Linked DNA regions of Coturnix japonica. Each later gene encodes a partner of the first gene's protein in a complex. Links are inferred from orthologs where the notes say so. Each region holds a gene or a part of one and is shown on either strand. Other genes may lie near its edges.

Region 1 (4,491 bases):
CTGTTGCTTTTGATTTAGCCACCCATCGTGGCTACGATTCAGATAATCCACGAGTCCGAGGGGACGTTGGAATGGCTGGAGTTGCCATTGATACGGTGGAAGACACCAAAATCCTTTTTGATGGAATTCCTTTAGAGAAAATGTCAGTTTCTATGACAATGAATGGAGCAGTCATCCCTGTGCTGGCAACATTCATTGTGACTGGGGAAGAACAGGGAGTGCCTCAGGCCAAGCTGACAGGGACAATCCAAAACGACATATTGAAGGAGTTCATGGTCCGAAATACATACATTTTCCCTCCAGAACCATCAATGAGGATTATTGCTGACATCTTCCAGTACACCTCAAAGGTATTTATTAATTAAGTGTATGTACTTCATTTTTATACCCGGTTAACTATTAGGAAGAACTTCTTTACAGAAAGGGTAGTTAGGTACTGGAGTAGGCTCCCCAGGGAGGTGGTTGAATTGCCATCCCTGGTTGTGTTTAAGAACTGTTTGGATGTGGGGGTCGGGGATATGATTTAGTGTAGGGTTTTTAGAGTTAGGGTTCTGGTTAGGCTGCGGTTGGACTTGATCTTCAAGGTCTTTTCCAACCTGGGTAATTCTATTCTATGATTCTATTTATAAGTAGCAATGCAGAACAAAGCAGAGAACGGGAAGACCTGCCATAGTGAACAAAGATGCAATTGTAGAAGAAGGTGGGAAGACAAATCAGGACAAGTTATGGTCTCAAATCATTTGCAAACATTTATAAATGTTAGGATTAAGTAAATGCAAATCAAAATCAGATTCAGGCAAGCCTGAAAGGGTTTCAGGAAGGTTGGATACAAGGAGTAGAGAGGCTTTTTGTTGTACAAAGGGAGAAGCCACATAGTTAAGAAGCATTATTAGCTGTAAGAGGAGCAAGGAGGCAGAAAATCTAAAGGCCTTGTGTTGTGATATAAAGCATAGAAAGCAGATAAGGAAAGGAGTGAAGCCCTGGGTTTATGCCCTGGAAATTCAGTTTCCTCCTCCCTTCTTACACTTTCTTTCTTTTATTTTTGCAGTACATGCCGAAATTTAATTCCATTTCAATCAGTGGATACCATATGCAAGAGGCAGGAGCTGATGCCATTCTGGAATTAGCTTATACTATAGCAGATGGCTTGGAATACTGCAGAACTGGACTGAAAGCCGGCCTTACCATTGATGAATTTGCACCAAGGTGAGCTAAATAATATACTCATAATTTTTGGTAAAGTCCCTGGAGTTTAATTTTAATCTTCATCAGAAGGGGAGGTTTAGGTTAGGTATTAGGAGGAAGTTTTTCCCCCAGAGGGTGGTGACGCACTGGCACAGGTTGCCCAAGGAGGCTGTGGATGCCCCATCCCTGCAGGCATTCAAGGCCAGGCTGGATGTGGCTCTGGGCAGCCTGGGCTGCTGGTTGGTGACCCTGCACACAGCAGGGGGTTGGAGCTGGATGAGCACTGTGGGCCTTTGCAACGCAGACCATTCTATGAATTATACCATGACTTTGTTACGTTCAGCGCACTTTTAGTATCACAGGTTTTATGGACTGAAGTTACAAATGTAAAGACTGATTAATCTACTTATTTTCTATCTGCATTAAGCAGATGTTGGATCTGGACTAAAGTTGTCAAAAGAAGGAGGGGCTTTACTTTAATTGGGGGCTTTACTGTAGCTCTTGTCATTTACTGAAATTAAGTTTTTAGATTGTTTTAATGTTTTATCCTGTTCCTCTTACTCCAGGCTTTCCTTCTTCTGGGGAATTGGCATGAACTTCTATATGGAAATAGCTAAACTTCGAGCAGGGAGGAAGCTATGGGCTCACTTGATAGAGAAAATGTTCAAGCCCAAAGATCCCAAATCTCTGCTGCTGAGAGCTCACTGTCAGACTTCAGGCTGGTCACTCACTGAGCAGGTTAGAAATTGTACTCTGTTTCCTATTTAAAACACGTTCTCATGTTTTACTTTGAATTAATTAAGCTATTTGTAACCCAACTAAATCTAAACTGGGCTTTGCTTTATTATTGTGACCAATTTACCTGTACATCAATAATTCTGGCTTGCTTTATTGATGAATCTCTTTGCCTGAAATACTGTTGAGTGATATATCAGTTTCATTGGATGTCTCCCATTGACTGCTTTCTTTTTCGGCTTTTGGTATGATTACAGTTCTTCTATTGGGAATCTTGCATTGATTTATGTTCAGCAGTATAAGTTAAATCAGTGCACCTCAGCCCTGTGGCAGAAGCTTTGATCTTTTGAGCTTTCCTTTTCCTTTCAGGATCCCTTTAACAATGTTATTCGCACTACAATCGAAGCAATGGCTGCAGTGTTTGGAGGCACCCAGTCTTTGCATACGAATTCATTTGATGAAGCTTTGGGTTTGCCTACAGTGAAGAGTGCTCGCATTGCTCGCAATACACAGATCATAATACAAGAGGAATCAGGGATTCCAAAGGTGGCAGATCCCTGGGGGGGATCTTACCTGATGGAGTGCCTCACCAACGATGTCTATGAGGCTGCTTTGAAGGTTGGTTTAAATGCTCTTTTCATAGAATCATAGAATTACTCAGGTTGGAAAAGACCTTGAAGATCATCAAGTCCAATCGCAGCCTAACCAGTACCCTAACTCTAACAACCCTACACTAAATCATATCCCTGAGCACCACATCCAAATGATTCTTAAACACATCCAGGGATGGCGATTCAACCACCTCCCTGTGGAGCCTATTCCAGTACCTAACTACCCTTTCTGTAAAGAAGTGCTTCCTAATATCCAACCTTTTCTGTTTTGTAGGAAAATTTCAGCTATAGAATTTTTGAGAGATGACTGTTTTGTACCTTTTTAACTTCTCAGGGAGGAATTATTTAACATTTCAGCTTCAATGATTTTGTGTAGATGATCTTTATAATAAAGTACAGTGTTTGGATGATCCTATGTGGAGCCAGGAGTTGATGGTCTTTTTAGAACTCACAGTATTCTATGATTCTATGTCTCCTCATGTGTGTGTTACTCTGCTTCATATTTAGAAACTGGATGCTATTGCAAGCCAAGTTTTATTTTTTTTTCTTCCAAATAATACATTTCATTTGCTAGTTATTAGTTGCAAATAAAAGGTGCAGCACAAGAGTAGCCTGACTAGTGGCAGTCCTGAATTAAATTGTCCAACTGTACATGGAGCTGTTGGAATGGATCCACTGAAGGGCCACAATGATGCTAAGAGGGCTGGAGCACTTCTCCTATATAGAAAGGTTGGGAAAGCTTGGTGTGTTCAGCCTGAAGATGATGGACATGGGGGACACCTCTCTGCAGCCTTCCAGTACTTGTAGCTTATAAGCAGGAGGGAGTCCAGCTTATTACATGGGCAGATAGTGATAGGACAAGGTGGAATGGTTTTAAACTAAAAGAGGGGAGATTTAGATGATCTGATCAATTATTTGGATGCAGTGAGAATTTGGATGGTAGTGCAACCGCAAAGCTCGTTTTGTATCCTTACTAATCCTCTTTTTCTCAATCTTCTGCGCTTCAGCTAATTGAGGAGATTGAAGAAATGGGTGGAATGGCCAAAGCTGTTGCTGAAGGAATTCCCAAACTTCGTATTGAAGAGTGTGCAGCCCGACGGCAAGCCAGGATTGACTCTGGTAGGGAGCAAGAAGGCAAAAGAAGGGATTTTTTTTCTTTCTTTTTGAGATAGTACATCTGAACTGCTGTTCCTGGGTGTAAAACTGTGATAGCCAGCAGATGGCAGTGTTGAATGGTTGAATGCATCTGGCCAAGAGTCTCAGTTCCTTGAGAAGTGCCTATTCTTCCTGAAGAGCAGAAAAATGCACTCATTTCATATTAGGAGATGATGCAGTTCTTTATTTATGTATAGATACGTAATCACAAACAATGAGTGTTTGTGGAGGTGTGTGTTTATGTGCCAATATGTACATGTATACACACATGTATATGTGTAATAAATATGTGTTTGTATATATATATATATATATATATATATATGTTTATTGTCTCTATTCAGTTTTTCTAGTCTACAGGGATAACTTGAACAGGAAAGAAGTTGTATGAGCCTTTTTTGAGTATAAATTTGAAGCAGATTCTTGACTGAGACCAGTAAAGAACAATCCTAAGATGTTTCGTCTCCCGAGGTGAATTACTTTGTCCTGAAGAGAGGAGTAACACTATGAAGTTAGTGTTAGGTAGTGTTAACTGTGTTGATTGATCATGCATATAATCATCTCTTACAGCAAAATATGAGAAATGGACTTAAGTCCTTCTTATATTTCTTTAAAGTATTTGAAATGTTATAAAGCAAAGCACTGTATCTTATTACTTAAAATGTTCTCCTATAAATACTGTGTCTTTTCACACTAGTTTGCTCATATATTCTAAGTCTTTGGTGTTTCCACTGGAAATAGGTTCTGAAGTCATTGTTGGAGTGAACAAATACCAGCTAGAAAAAGAGGAGACAGTCGAAGTTCT
Region 2 (3,314 bases), on another chromosome or scaffold:
TTCACTCTGTACGTGGATATGTGAAGGAGATTTGCTCTACACTGACTAAAATTGACCCCTTGAATTAAATTTACATCAGCTGAACTGCCCTTCTGTTCAACTTCTTCACTGTTGTTTTGTCATGTTTGTTTCTAGATCTGATTAGAATTACTAGTCACTGTGATGAGAAATGCAGCAACTGAAGTTAGTGCAGAAGAGCTGAATACTGAATTCTCTTACAGTTCAGATAGGATTTTTAACACTGTAAATTGTTGCAAGTGCAAACAGATACGTTTCCACCAAAATACTGTTTTTGACTCTGTTGATTCCTCTTGTTGCTGCAGCGTATTGTTTTGACATAATCATGTATGTGATACGTGGTTCTTTGCTTTTCATCACTCTGTGTGTTTACTTCATCACTATCTTATAAGCAGCTGATACATCTGGGTAGGTACTTGTTTGTTCAGCCTTATAAATGTGACCCTTAACACCTCTTTGAGACCAGTGAATCAAGCAGGTTATCAGAAATCTGTCTCTGTTTCAGTGATGGCATTGTCTGACTACTGGGAAAAAAAGGAAATATTGATGTGTAGGGACTTGAGCCATCAGATGGGAGAGAGATTTTTTTCTTAAAAGGATAAAAACAGTGGTAACAGTTAAAAGGTTCTGTTGGATGCCTATAATACTTTGGCAGAATGAATTCCTTGTCTGGGAAGCATATGTAGAAAGAAGTTTAATATCTCGTTTCTGGAATACTTGAAGTGCAGAAGGGTAACTATCAGTGTCTGTCTACCAGAATGCATAATCAAGTTTACATTTAAGTAAAATAGCAACACTGTACATTTTTAGCTAAAGATTGTATTTAAAATGATTCTCACTTGTTATACGAGCAGTTGAACAAGCCCCATTTGTCACAAATATTATGGATCTCAGCATCTACTTATAGTTGGTACATTCCCAACTTTGGGATTTATTTTTCGTCATGGAGAAAAGTGTGAGCATTGCAGAACTGTTTCGAGTGGCATTGGATATGTGTATTGAAGCGAGCTTGCCTTCCATGTAACTTGACTGTTGAAGTCTACCTGATGCAGTAATTGATCCCTTAAGCCCAGTAATTACGTGGCTTTAAACATTGTTCTGAATCCAACAGGTAATGCGTATCTCTGCCAAAACTGGAGAAGGTATCTCAGATATGTGGGATAAAATGACAGAATTTCGCGACCTCATGCTCACAAGTGGTGAGCTGATTGCTAAACGGCGGAAGCAGCAGAAAGTGTGGATGTGGAATCTCATCCAAGAAAATATGTTGGAACATTTCCGGAGTCACTTGGCAGTCAAAGATAAGATTCCACTTCTGGAAGAAAAAGTTCTTAGTGGTGTCTTGTCTCCTGGGCTGGCAGCTGATCTGCTGCTGAAAGCATTCAAAGATGGTCTCTAATCATTATTTTCTACTGTGTTATTGCTAATTCCTTCATGTAAACCTAAATATTAAATACGCTTTATGTGTGAATTCAAATGTTTCACTACAACAGACACTAATGGAATACAATTTATTAGTACTCTGCCACAAAAATACTGAGTGAAAAGCGCTGTAGGATTCTGTATATGTAAAGTTCAGTGCAAACACACACTCAGAGACTACTATATCTGGTACTTGAACAGCAGTACTGTTTTTGAGTCTGTACTCATATGGATTTGTTGGTCACAAATGTGAGCCTGTATCAAAATGTGACTGGTTTTGGAGAGTGAGGTTTGGTGCAGCAGTTTCACTGTGGGACTATCTTAGGGGTGATAAACACTTCTGCTTTCCATTCTGATTTATTATCAGTTGTTTCTTGTATGTATTACTTTTTTCTTCCTCTTGAGTCTCTGCAAGAACACTGGACCTCCTGGTTGCACCGGACTGCAGTCTTAGTTTTAAATACATTGAAAGCATATAAAAAGAGTTGTTCAGTCATTGGGAAGCTATAGCTATTTCCTGTATGCTAGGAGAAGAGAATTGTAACAATCATAGATTCTAACTAGATGTTTTAGTACAAAAGCAAAGTCTAATTAGACTTTTTAAAATACAGACATATGAAATGAGTGCCATCCACCAAGTTCTTAATCGCAATTCTTTTTCACAGAATCATAGAATGGCCTGGGTTGGAAGGGACCTTAAAAATCATGAATCTCCATCTCCCCTGCTACATGCAGGGCCTCCAACCTCCCCATTTAATACTAGACCAGGCTGCCCAGGGCCCCATCCAAACTGGCCTTGAACACCTCCAGGGTTGAGGCATCCACAGCCTCTCTGGGCAGCCTGTTCCAGCACCTCACCACTCTCGTAGTAAAGAACTTCCCCCCGATATCCAACCTAAATCTTCCCTCCTTCAACTTAAAACCACCTCCCCTTGTCCTGCTGTTATCTACCCTTTCAAAGAGTTGACTCCCCTCCTCTTTATAGGTTCCCTATAATAGAAAAATTGATCTCTGGTCTTATTTGACTGAAGTAAGCTTTTCATATTTAAAGAAAATGCTTACTTTTCTCCTCTCTTGTAGATCACATGATTTTTGTTTCCCTTGAGAACTCATCTGGAGTTGGCATTTTCCTAATTCTTGAACTGGAATGCAGAGTTATCTACTAAATATGAAGAGTAAAATAGGAAAATGCTGATTTCTTGAGGGCTGACAGAAAAGCATTAACAAGAGTTTTAATAAGTTGTTGCCGTGTGCTCTACTTTTCCTTATATGAATAAATATATAAGGCATTAGGTGTTTTTTTATAGTCTTGATTTTCTGTATGCCTATCATAGTATGTGAGATAGTTTGGGGTTTGTTTGTTATAATTTAAGTTTAGTTTGGCTTCCTAACAAGTATGCATTTTGCAGAGCATTTGTGTTCTGACAGTCTGAGTCTGGATATCTCAAACAATTCCAGGGTAGCAATGAATTGGTTTCCTTTGATTCTATTTCTTTTTTCCTTCCTTCCGTTTATTTTTTTATTTTTTATTTTATTTTTCTTCTGGTGACGTTTTTTTTTCTCTTCCCTTATACCAATTGTTACAATGTGTTCTCAGCTAAATTTGCTTTGTCTTGCTAAACCTCTGTACTTCCTAGTTTTCACTCCTTTATAGTTGTAATGCAACTATCAGAAAAAATTAATGAATGTTGAAAATGCTGAGGATTTTTTCCTTTGGTTTGTCAAAGTAGCATAAACTAAACAATACAGAAATCTCCATCAGGCTGCTAACATTTCAGTTACTTCTTCCATTGTATGAGGGCTTATGTTTCGTTGTCCATCTATTTTTTTTTTACTCTGAGAGTATGAAGAATGAACAGAAAGTAAAATCAAAC

Evidence for each region.
Region 2: the proteins of MMUT (region 1) and MMAA are in contact, whole or in part, in a crystal structure (PDB 8GJU), measured with the Homo sapiens proteins. The link is inferred for Coturnix japonica from reciprocal best matches to the Homo sapiens genes MMUT and MMAA. Residues at the interface, in NP_000246.2 of Homo sapiens: Lys496, Glu609, Arg610, Glu611, Gly612, Arg613, Arg614, Arg616, Ala635, Thr636, Ala639, Asp640, Gly642, Phe643, Asp644, Val645, Asp646, Ile647, Gly648, Pro649, Leu650, Phe651, Gln652, Glu656, Gln659, Gln660, Val662, Asp663, Ala664, Asp665; in NP_001362573.1 of Homo sapiens: Arg98, Ala99, Ala102, Glu103, Thr106, Glu109, Ser110, Thr111, His112, Ser182, Ser186, Gly187, Gly188, Ser189, Leu190, Leu191, Lys194, Thr195, Met197, Thr198, Ser201, Arg202, Met204, Tyr207, Ile208, Arg209, Pro210, Ser211, Pro212, Arg214.

The regions. Positions count from the first base shown.
Region 1 is NC_029518.1:99,243,762-99,248,252, forward strand, and holds part of MMUT (methylmalonyl-CoA mutase, mitochondrial), read left to right. Parts: coding exon 1-350; intron 351-1,048; coding exon 1,049-1,206; intron 1,207-1,751; coding exon 1,752-1,923; intron 1,924-2,271; exon of another isoform or gene 2,272-2,282; intron 2,283-2,289; coding exon 2,290-2,538; intron 2,539-3,538; coding exon 3,539-3,650; intron 3,651-4,427; coding exon 4,428-4,491. UniProt on the Homo sapiens protein: Catalyzes the reversible isomerization of methylmalonyl-CoA (MMCoA) (generated from branched-chain amino acid metabolism and degradation of dietary odd chain fatty acids and cholesterol) to succinyl-CoA (3-carboxypropionyl-CoA), a key intermediate of the tricarboxylic acid cycle.
Region 2 is NC_029519.1:27,401,193-27,404,506, forward strand, and holds the end of MMAA (methylmalonic aciduria type A protein, mitochondrial), read left to right. Parts: intron 1-1,129; coding exon 1,130-1,417; 3' UTR 1,418-2,065; downstream 2,066-3,314. UniProt on the Homo sapiens protein: GTPase, binds and hydrolyzes GTP. Involved in intracellular vitamin B12 metabolism, mediates the transport of cobalamin (Cbl) into mitochondria for the final steps of adenosylcobalamin (AdoCbl) synthesis.